Linked DNA regions of Canis lupus familiaris. The protein of the gene in region 1 purifies or fractionates together with the protein of each later gene. This does not show direct contact. Links are inferred from orthologs where the notes say so. Each region holds a gene or a part of one and is shown on either strand. Other genes may lie near its edges.

Region 1 (4,208 bases):
TTACCAAGTGTGATGTTCTCCCCAGAGGAAAATCAGCCCAGTGGCAGAGCAATCAGTACAATTTCTAGGGTAAGTAGTATAGAAACAAAGACAGAAACCTTTTAATTTTCCATCAAACAAAGCAAGGAAAATTTAAACCTGTAATTTAAATTTGATTTCAATACATTAAAAGAAAAATCAAAGCTCTCCCAAGCAGTTTAAAGCATAAACTAGTGTTTTAACCCAAACACTGAAAAAAAAAAAAAAGGAAGAAAAAAAAAAAAAAAAACACCCTCAAAGACACAATTGAATAGCACCAAGTAACACTCCCTATAGTTAGTACTCAGAGTCACATTATAGCCTAGCAGTTCTAGGCTATAATCTGAAGTCAAAGAAGTAAAAGGACTCCAGAATTTAGAAACATCAATTTCCTGTAAGAATCCGTGGAGATTCTCAGAATCCAGACTATAAAGTAAAGGCTCTACCACACATGGAGTAGAAGGCTAATGTCTGGTCCTGCATATCTGCATATATATATTTGGCTCAGTTATGAGTTGGAAGTTTGACTTTAAAACCTTTAAACAAACGAACAAACAAACAATAAATAAAACCTTTAAACAAAGGAATCGGGATCCTGGGTGGTGCAGCGGTTTGGCGCCTGCCTTTGGCCCAGGGAGTGATCTTGGAGACCCGGGATCGAATCCCACATTGGGCTCCCGGTGCATGGAGCCTTCTTCTCCCTCTGCCTATGTCTCTGCCTCTCTCTCTCTCTCTCTCTGTGACTATCATAAAACAAAACAAAACAAAACAAAAAAAACAAACAAAAAAAAAACAAAGGAATCTTATAACATCCAAGTAAGTGTGGTAGAAAGAAGAGTTTACACTCTGATTTGAAAGTACATAAATAGTATAAGTCAGAGTTTCCATAACAGGCTTACAAATAAAACATTTGATCCATTTCATACAAGTCCTAACACGTAAAACATGTTAACTAGGATGTTAAGTTATTTTAAAAATAACGTTCAGTAGCGGTAGACAACAGGCAACTTGCTCAATTTCTATCTCTTGAAACCATGATGGAAATGTCCACCCAGTGTCAAGCTGAGTTAACTCAACATCTAGACGGCAAAGTGCAGCATTTAATACAGCATCTCACAGACAAGCTCATCCACACACCATCCCTGTAAAGCATACCTGATCTTTCATTTGCACTTAAAGAAACATACTTGGGTCACTAACCTGACCACAATTATAAATTAAGTCGAAGGACACTAGGATTGATACACATTGATTTTCCAAACTTGGCATTCAGGTAGAGCAATCTACCTGTTACAAGCTGATTTTAAAGGACTGCTACACATTTCTCTTGTACAGACTCCTCTATACCCACTTATCCCATGACCAGTATTTCTTACTCCCACACCCACAACACACCTAATCACCTCAGTCCCTCACCCTCCCCATCAAGCAGAAAAGAGCAGAAAACCTGCTCCCCTTTAACCAGAAACTGATCTCTAAAAAGAAAACAGAATGCAAGGTAACATGGCTCAAGACCAAAAGCTCTTTCTTTGGGTGGGTGAGCACATTCAGATACAAGAGAAAACAAACTCACACATGCTCACTTCGTTGTATTTTTAAAATAAAATACAAAGAATTTCTCCCCGAGTCTGAAGAAAGAGGAAACACAGCTCCATCTTCCATTTCTAGGTGCAGGGCTGCCTATGGGACCTATATCCTGACGCCAATTCTGATATGCAAGCCAACAAAACACAGGTGGCTCCCGGGGATCATAACCGGGAATTGCAAGTGTCAGGCCTTGTTCTGAGATCCTTCCCTGTCCAGGCCGATCTAATGCTCCACGTTGCTCAGGTTCCCAGCAGGCCTGTCCGTACTGCCTGGTACAGCAATTTAATAAACCCCTTCTGCCGAGCAGGGCGACCAGCACCATGGCCAGGAACCCCAATCACGAGAACGATGATGATTACTCTCCTGGCGAGGTGGGAGGATATAGTTTACAACGTGCTGAGCTAGGTGGCTGGAACCTCAGGAATTAGTTCCTCATCACTGTTGTCAATAACCCGGGGTGGGGGTGGGGGTGGGGCGGGGCGGAGGCGCGGGGGGAAGAAGGCGGCTGGTTGGTTCGGCACCACAGAGTTCTGTAAGGTCACCACACCCGGGGGTCGGTCTTATTCGTCCTCCTCCAAACGCCGCGTCCGGGCCTCGCCTCCCCTCCCCTCGCCGCCAGGCACACCGCGGGCCCGGTGTCTGCCCTGAGGAGGCCCGCCCCCATCGCCCCAGAGCAGGTGCGGGGACAGGGTGCGTACCCGGTTCTCCAGCTCCGCGGGGAACTTGGTCTGGAACTGGCACCGTGTGCCGCTGCTGTAGTCTCGCTGAATGAACACCTTCCCGGACACCGGCGCCTGCTGCGGCCTCATGGCGAGGACAGGACCGGCGCGCTGCGGGTTTGGGGGGACAACAGCCTCGGGTCAGATCCCCGGCCTGGACCCGAGACTCCGGCCCGCCCGCCCCCCAGCCCCTCCCCACGGGCCCAGGTGGCGCGAGGCGTGCCCCGCCCCACTCCCCCTCACCCATACTGGCCCCGCGGGACTTGAGCTATAGCCCGGGGCCAGGCCCCGCACCCCCCGCAGCCCGGTTCGGCCCGGGAAACACGAACCCGCCTCCTCTGCCCTCCAGCTGCAGTCGCACCGCCCACAGCGCCACTTACGTCCTGCCGCAAAAGAGCTTGTTTCCCCGCCCCTCCGCTCAGCCTCTATCGCAAGGAGAGGACTCACTTTCGCCCCGGCCGTAAAGCGACCCTGGTGAGGCTGCGCGCTGCGGTGAGGAGGCGCAGTGGGCGGGGTCCGGGCCGACCCCGCCCCTCGCCCCGCCCCGCCCCGCCCCGCCCGGGGGCGTCAATACGGAAGGAAGAGGCCGGGCCTGGCCGGGCCGGGGCGGGGCGAGGCCCGGGAAGCTACGGCTGCTGCACGCTCCCCTCGTTTGCCCCGGTCCAATACTCGGGATTTCCCTGTTGTGTCATATCCGTGTCGTGTCATTTCCCTAGTGATCGACGTAGTTTTTGACGTCCTGGCTTACCTGTGGGTGCCGCCCGACTCGGGACAAAACGAACTGCTCACACAAAATTGGAAGCAGAAAGCAGACGCCTGGGGATCCTCTTGGCAAGGGGGCGGGAGAAGGAGGGGACGGAGACCCTGCTTGGGCTTTATTACCGAGCATCCGTCCTCAGGTCTCTGCGGGGTCACCGTTCCTCCTCCCGCAGAGATGTCCATCCAGCGCCCAGTCTGTACATCCCTCGGGCGGCTGGGAGGACAGGTTCCCCTCCGTGACCTCTGGGGCTCCACCTGACTCAGCACACACTTTTGCAGAGCAGCCAAAGGAACTCCGCCTTGCCCTCAGCTGCTGGAGCCTGCCTGATACAGCCTGTTGGCACCGATGCCTTACCCTGCCTTTTATATATCTTAAAAATTTTCTCTTACTGTATTTTAAAAAGTTTTATGGAAATATAAACAGCATACAATGAGCGGAGCATACTTGAACTGAACAGTGTAATAAGTTCTGACATACGTGTGCAACCATGAAATCCTCTCAATCAAGACTGTGAACATTGATCATCCTCAGCATGTCCTACAAGCTCCTCTGTAATCCCTCTCTCCTGCCCTTACCCAGCTCCTTTTCTCCAGGCGCTGACCTGCTTTCTGCTATTATATGTTAGTTTGTACTTCTTTGAATGTTATATAAAATGAATCACAGTGTGTACTTCTTGCTTGTTTGTTTGGCTTCTTTCACATAGGCATCATTTGAGATTCATCTGTTGTTGTTTTATCAAGAATTCATTCATTTTTGTTGCTGGGTAGTATTCCATTGAATTGAGTATCCTGTCATTCGTTTATTCTGTGGACAGATTTAGGACTGCTTTCCAGTTTGGGGCTATTACAGATTAAACTGCTATCGGACATTCATCTACAAGTCTTTGTATGGACATATGATTTCATTTCTCTCGGGTAAATATCTAGTGTTTAACTTTTTAGGAAACTGCCAAACTGTTTCCCAAAGTGGTTGTACCATTTTACGTTCCCACCAGTAGCATATGAGGGATGCTCCACATCTTTGCCAACACTTGTATAGAGGTATCTTATTTGTGGTTATAAATTTTATTTTTCTATGACTAGAAAATTAGAACATCTTTTCATATACTTATTTGCCATTCCTAT
Region 2 (3,518 bases), on another chromosome or scaffold:
TTTACATTATTGCAATCGCCTCCCAAAAGGTATCTGTGCATTCTTACAAGAATGATTTTTGTAAAGGAAATCTGATCCTGTGATTCCTCCAGTTAAAGATCTCTTGCTGTCCAAAGGAAGAAATGTAATCTATTTAATTTAGTACATAAAGTCTTCCACAATTTGGCTGTTTACCTCCTACTCCTTCTGGCCCGACCATGAGCTTTTATCTTCCACCCCACTGAGCTCAGCACTAGTGGCATGTACTGCTTCCTCGGCCTAGAATGTGCTTCCCTACCATCCTCCACTCGAAGTCTTTCCTGTGTCCTCCTTGCAGCATTTCCCCAATTTAATGGGGGCAGATATAAGTGCACCCTTTTATATGGTCTCACAGAACCTCATTCATGCCTCCACTACAGTTCACACCACACTATTATAACTGTCTAATTCATCTTAGATTATCATTGCCCGACCCATATGCTCAAAATGAATCTCTGCTCAATGAGCAACTGAAAATCAAAAACTTGACCCAAAGTGAATTAAGAGGACTAGAAGTTATGACACCTATTCTGGAGGACTCTGACCAGCTTTTCATCATGAGACTACAGACATATCCCACAACCCCCAGAGTCCTAAGGCCCAGGATTAAATGCACATGTCCAAAAACCATTATATTTGAAAGGTAGTTGAGGAGTTTCCAAGAGAGGAGAGGGAGCTCTTACCTCGAGGGAAAATCCCTGGGTCCATGAAGGTGGCCATGCTGAAGTTGGCCAGCACAAAGAGAAAAACAATCGCATTGTAGATGGGCACTGCAGGTGACACACAGAGGCTTAGTCCTGGACAGCTGCACAGATAACAAAGAAAATGAGGGGCTGCCCCTAACATTTGGGACACCGACCATATAAAAATCTGAAAGTTTCAGTCCCCATACCTATAAATTACGTGTATTTCATCTCTGCTGTCTCAAATGATCTTCATCCTTCCCAACAATTGGGTCTAGTTTCCCCACAGAAATGCTCATTTTAGATCAAGGTACGAAATTCAGAATCTCTCCTACCATAACCCCTTTTACTGAGGTCTGTGTTCTTCAGATTCATTCTTCCCCTGTGGCTCTTTCCACATTTTAGAATCTGTCCTTATCTCTTTTTAGCCAGGCATAAGAGCTAGGGACTGAGTGTGTAATTGACGCCAGCTACATTCCCCTCTCTTGCGCAGCCCAAGGCTGCTGGATCTCGGCCATGCCCCACTGACCTGTACACTGGCGCAGAGCACGGGATACCACCTGCCTCTCTGGCTCCCCTTCCCTCTTTCCAGCTGGCTTTCAACCACTCTCCACTGCCTAAAATTTATTCACTGCATCAGATATTCCTGGGAGTTTTTATTCAACAAAAAGCTGGTTCTCAAGGCGGACAGGGGGCCCACACACTGATATGTAGGAATATCAAGACACAGAACTAGATCTCTTGAGGTCTATAAATGAGGCAGACAAGTAGCAGAGAGGAAAATAGGAGGGAGCAAATCAAATCAGCCCTAAATCCTACAGGAAAAAAGAAACTGGCCAAACATATTCAATATTCCACAGGGTCCAAATCAAGAGATATGCTTTAGGTAACTTTTCTTTGACACCCCCCCCCAAAAAAAGCAGGGGGTGTTCTAGTCGAGGATTAAGCTCAGTTTCTCTCAGGTTATAAGTCTAAGTAGGAATGCTATAAGAACTCTTTTCTTTCTGATTTCCTGGGAGCTGGAAGTTTCAAAACACCTGACGTGCTGATCACTTTGTCAGTACTATCAAATGCCCGTTCTCCTATCTCAGCTCACGAAGAACTTCCTCTTACAAGACAGTGGCTAAATGCCCTAATCTGCTTTGTGGCTGAGAACTTAATCTCCAGAATGAGGACAGCATCTGTCCTTGTCCCCTTTATCTAAACCAGCCAGTAGTAAAGGAAGAGTTCATTGAAAGAAAGAAAGAAGTGGCCAGGAGAATAACACAACAAATGAGTCTGGAAAATGAATCCACAGTAGTCCTGGATTCTGTTCAGAGAGATCTGTCTCCATCAAAACAAAAAGCACAGCCCTGAACAAGTGATTCAGGACAATTCACAGGAATTGAGCTCCTTAATCAGATATAAACTAATAAGAGACAAGACTGACCGTCATAAAGCATCTCACGAGTCTTTACCACCTCCATCTATTTATTCAAATTCTATTTAGCCACTCATTAAAAAAAAAAAAAGTAAGTAAATATTTATTGCACAGGCTTTTTAGATAGTAAATATCAATTAACTCTTTGCTTCCCTTGGTAGGTGAGTACGTAATTGGAAACAAAATAATGAAGCGAGGTAGGCACTGATTTCAAAGGAAAACAGACCCTCAGTCCCAGGTCTAGTTTTACGCTATCCACGCCTCCCAAAGAAGCCTCTGCCTCTGGGGGTTATCTGCTTCAGAAAAGATGTTCCCATACTCTGGCAGGGTTTGGGGTAGAATACAAGCAAGAAGAGTCCTCATACAGCCCCACCCAGAGGCTGACCTCCCAGGCTCCTTAGGAGGGAGGGACAGAAACTGAAAACCAGTCATCCAGGTCAGAGCCCCTCCCTAGCACTTAGCTGTCGCTTCGATTTCCGCCAGGGGAAGAGGAGAAAGGGTGACTCACTTGACTCCTACAGCCTGGGAAGATAATTAGAAGGGAAAAAGAAATTAAATCCTTAGAACACTGAGATGCCCATGATTTAAAAACCTCATTCCTAGAACTGACGACAACTGTAGCTACCATGGCCTCTTGAGCTTCTGACACACTAAAGGTTCCTCGATCCCTGAGGGGAACTAAGATGAGAGAATGAGATGTCAGCCCCTTACAGGCCCAGATGGCAGTCTTTCTGACCCCATTTTTTCCTTCAGTTTCTGCATTTCCAAATGAAGAAAATCACCCAACTTCTTGGGTAGGCTGCCACCCACCCATCCCTGTATAATGAACGTCACCCCTGCAATCTCCCCCACCCCGAGATTTTAAAGTAATCTCTACACCCACCATGGGGCTTGAATGCTCGACCCTGAGATCAAAAGTTGCATGTTTCACCAACTGAGTGAGCCAGGAGCCCCACTCCTATAACCTTCTTGGTATCGACTCATCCCAGCTGAAGTCTGTAATCCTACAATCCAGTTCTAGAATCTGTTGTCAAAACAAAGCTACCCTCACAGTAGCAGCATCTAGAAATGATACAAATGGGGCACCTGGTTGGCTCAGTGGTTGAGAGTCTGCCTTTGACTCAGGTAGTGATCCTGGGGTCCTGGGAATGAGTCTCGCATCGGGCTCCCTGCAGGGAACCTGCTTCTCCCTCTGCCTATGTCTCTGCCTCTCTGTCTCTCATGAATAAATAAAATCTTAAAAAAAATAGAAATGATGCAAACAATTCCATATCCCAGGCAGCATCTGCCCCTTGACTGAAATCTAGGACCCACTACTTATAGACTTCATACTAGCTAAGGGAACACCCCACCAAGGAGAGACGTGAAGGAGCAGAGTCTGTTCCTGCCACATCCCA
Region 3 (2,614 bases), on another chromosome or scaffold:
ACCTTGGTCAAGAATTTTAAAACCCCACGCCCAAGCATTTTGTATGTTTACTTAGCTTTTCTACCTTCCACCAAAGGTGCTGAAAGACAATGCAAACCTCAGGAGGGAGGAAGAGAGAGAAGAGGGAGTAACCAGCAACTGCAGAGGCAATAATCGGCTGTACTGGCTTTGTTGTAAGTCAGAAGCGGACCTGATTATCTCTGTACAACACAAACATCCACAGCCATTACAGGACCTTATAAAAAAAAAAATCTAGCCACGTTAAATATGATACTTAGAGATCACAAACTACTGTGAAAACATGTTTTTAAACTCTGAAATCTTAAAGGGATAAAGAGCCTCGTTTTCTAATGGAGGCAAGAGCTTCCCTTATTTTTTGGAAGATAAAACAGAGACCTCAGCAACAAAGCATTTTCCAGAGAACCAGAGATATCGTTCAGAATCCTGTACTTCTTTATCCTAAAACATTGAGATTTAAATCAACTCAGAAAGTATACACAATTGAGTTTCTTCTCATTTTTTATTTTATTTTTATAAAAAAGACAGATTCAGGATATTTGTAAGAAATTACTAAGTTACATTTTTTTTAAAATCTGTCAAGTGCTACAGTAATGGAATAAGATTTTTTAAAGTTCAATGTTTATAGACATGTTTATAAAAAAAAATGACTGAATTAGAAGATGTTAAATAATGTTGATACACACCAGGAAGGGATTTAGGCAAGGAAAGGCACATCATTTCACCACAAGAAATAAAGACCATAGTTGGAAGTTAATGACCAGCCAAAGCTTTAGGTCTTGTGGTAGTTTTCCTAGCTCCGGAGGGTCATTATGGTTGAACCTTCTTCATGGTATTGAGCTGGAATAAATAGACAGCGGTTGGAAAATTTTACTCTGTGACCCCAAAGTAGTGTTACAAAGAAAGCACTCTTAATGAGCCTGATGTGTGAGGAGGCAAGGAGCAAAAATCCAAAATGGTTTGGTTGTACTGAAAATCCTACTGACATATTAAGGAGAGTTAAAAAAAAAAATTAAAAAAAAGTAAAATAAGGTTAATCCTCTTGTCTGGCTGAATTGGAATTCTTGCAGTTACAAAGTTAAAATTTCAAGTAAACACTGTATTTTTCACTTCCTTTCTTGCAGACAGACACAGTATAGATAAACAGCTGCCGTATTTCACCTTGAATAAAACTTTATGCCAGTATTTGGGGGAAAGGATCTCAGATAGTTTCCTTATTTTATATAGCTTAAGTCTTTGAATATAGCACTAATGTTCTGGCTGACTGGCTATCTACAACAGCAAAGTGACCCTAAGTCTTGACAAAATGAGTTTCTCAGAGACACTAAAGAGTTTCTAGTTGAACAGATAGTTATTTACTGAAAAGTCTAACTGACATCAGCAGAAGTCTTGGGGCCAATTTTCCCCTATCAATTTTCTTTCACAAATTTGTCCCAAGTGTCTACCCATTTCTGGCTGTCTGGACTCTGAACCTAGATTAGTTTGTGCAAAAGATGGAATCATTCAGAATAATGCTTATAAGTTTTAGTGGTATTAAGAAACAACTGTGTGAATAAATAGAATGGATTTTCAGGATAAAATGGTAGATCCACAAAAAAATTTTTTTTTAATTAAAAACAATGGGAAAAGGGAGATAAGGAAAAAATATCAATATTGAAAAATAATAAAAATGGCAATTGCAATTCAGGCAGCTTCCCCCTCATGCCACACGATATGCCTTCATTAAGGTGTACTCTTTCCGGTTGGTATGGGCAGCCCAGATGAAGAGAGCGGAAGCCATGAACTGTAAGGGAGCTGAAACACACGCCAGGCAGAAGGACCATCCAAATTCACCAGACACATTCTCAGGCAGCTCTAGCTTCTGGTGTAGTAGCTCAATTCCAGCAACATAACAACTCACGGAGCCCAGGGTACACAGACCTCGGGGGAGAACAAAACATAACTAGGTAAGGGCATCGTGAGAGTTTTTCAGGCAGCACGGCAACACTGCGTGTGTTTAAGGATTACGATCCCTCTGTCTCTATGGAGGAGGAAGAGGTAAGTATACTGACAAGCCTCACCTGCAAGGAGATGGAGAATGCCCGTGGCAATGGTGGGATACAAACTTCGGCAGATGCAAGCACAAAATCCAATCACAGCCCCGAAGCACATCAAACCGAGACTAACGAACGGTAAAAGGAACTGGCAACGCCAAAGATCTAATTTTGAAAAAGACAAAAAAGAAATGTTACCTCAATTTCAGACAGTTTTTCACAATGACAATTTCTTTTATATACTAATTAGATCTTTTCTCAAAAAGTGAAAAAGGAGGGGCCCCTTGGATGGCGCTGTCAAGCACCCCACTCTTGCCTTTTTTTTTTTTTTTTAATTTTTTATTTATTTATGATAGTCAGAGAGAGAGAGAGGCAGAGACACAGGCAGAGGGAGAAGCAGGCTCCATGCACCGGGAGCCCGACATGGGATTCAATCCCCGGTCTCCAGGATCGCGCCCTGGGCCAAAGGCAGGCGCCAAACCGCTGCGCCACCCAGGGATCCCCCACTCTTGCTTTCTGAGGCAGGTGGTGACCTCAGCACCGAGCTGGGCTCCTTGCTCAGT

What was found. The genes of interacting proteins can lie anywhere in the genome.
Region 2: the proteins of GOLGA7 (region 1) and ZDHHC5 purify together in Homo sapiens (co-immunoprecipitation; 3 studies listed by BioGRID and IntAct, with this or other methods). This does not show direct contact. The link is inferred for Canis lupus familiaris from reciprocal best matches to the Homo sapiens genes GOLGA7 and ZDHHC5.
Region 3: the proteins of GOLGA7 (region 1) and CLDND1 purify together in Homo sapiens (affinity purification with mass spectrometry; 3 studies listed by BioGRID and IntAct, counting the BioPlex papers as one, with this or other methods). This does not show direct contact. The link is inferred for Canis lupus familiaris from reciprocal best matches to the Homo sapiens genes GOLGA7 and CLDND1.

What each region holds. Positions count from the first base shown.
Region 1 is NC_049237.1:24,832,495-24,836,702, forward strand, and holds the start of GOLGA7 (golgin subfamily A member 7), read right to left. Parts: upstream 2,801-4,208; 5' UTR 2,705-2,800; exon of another isoform or gene 2,568-2,704; intron 2,436-2,567; 5' UTR 2,415-2,435; coding exon 2,304-2,414; intron 1-2,303. UniProt on the Homo sapiens protein: May be involved in protein transport from Golgi to cell surface. The ZDHHC9-GOLGA7 complex is a palmitoyltransferase specific for HRAS and NRAS.
Region 2 is NC_049239.1:38,976,607-38,980,124, forward strand, and holds part of ZDHHC5 (palmitoyltransferase ZDHHC5), read right to left. Parts: intron 824-3,518; coding exon 702-823; intron 1-701. UniProt on the Homo sapiens protein: Palmitoyltransferase that catalyzes the addition of palmitate onto various protein substrates such as CTNND2, CD36, GSDMD, NLRP3, NOD1, NOD2, STAT3 and S1PR1 thus plays a role in various biological processes including cell adhesion, inflammation, fatty acid uptake, bacterial sensing or cardiac functions.
Region 3 is NC_049254.1:5,736,090-5,738,703, forward strand, and holds the end of CLDND1 (claudin domain-containing protein 1), read right to left. Parts: intron 2,217-2,614; coding exon 2,079-2,216; intron 1,939-2,078; coding exon 1,718-1,938; 3' UTR 502-1,717; downstream 1-501. UniProt on the Homo sapiens protein: Plays a role in negatively regulating the permeability of cells to small molecules.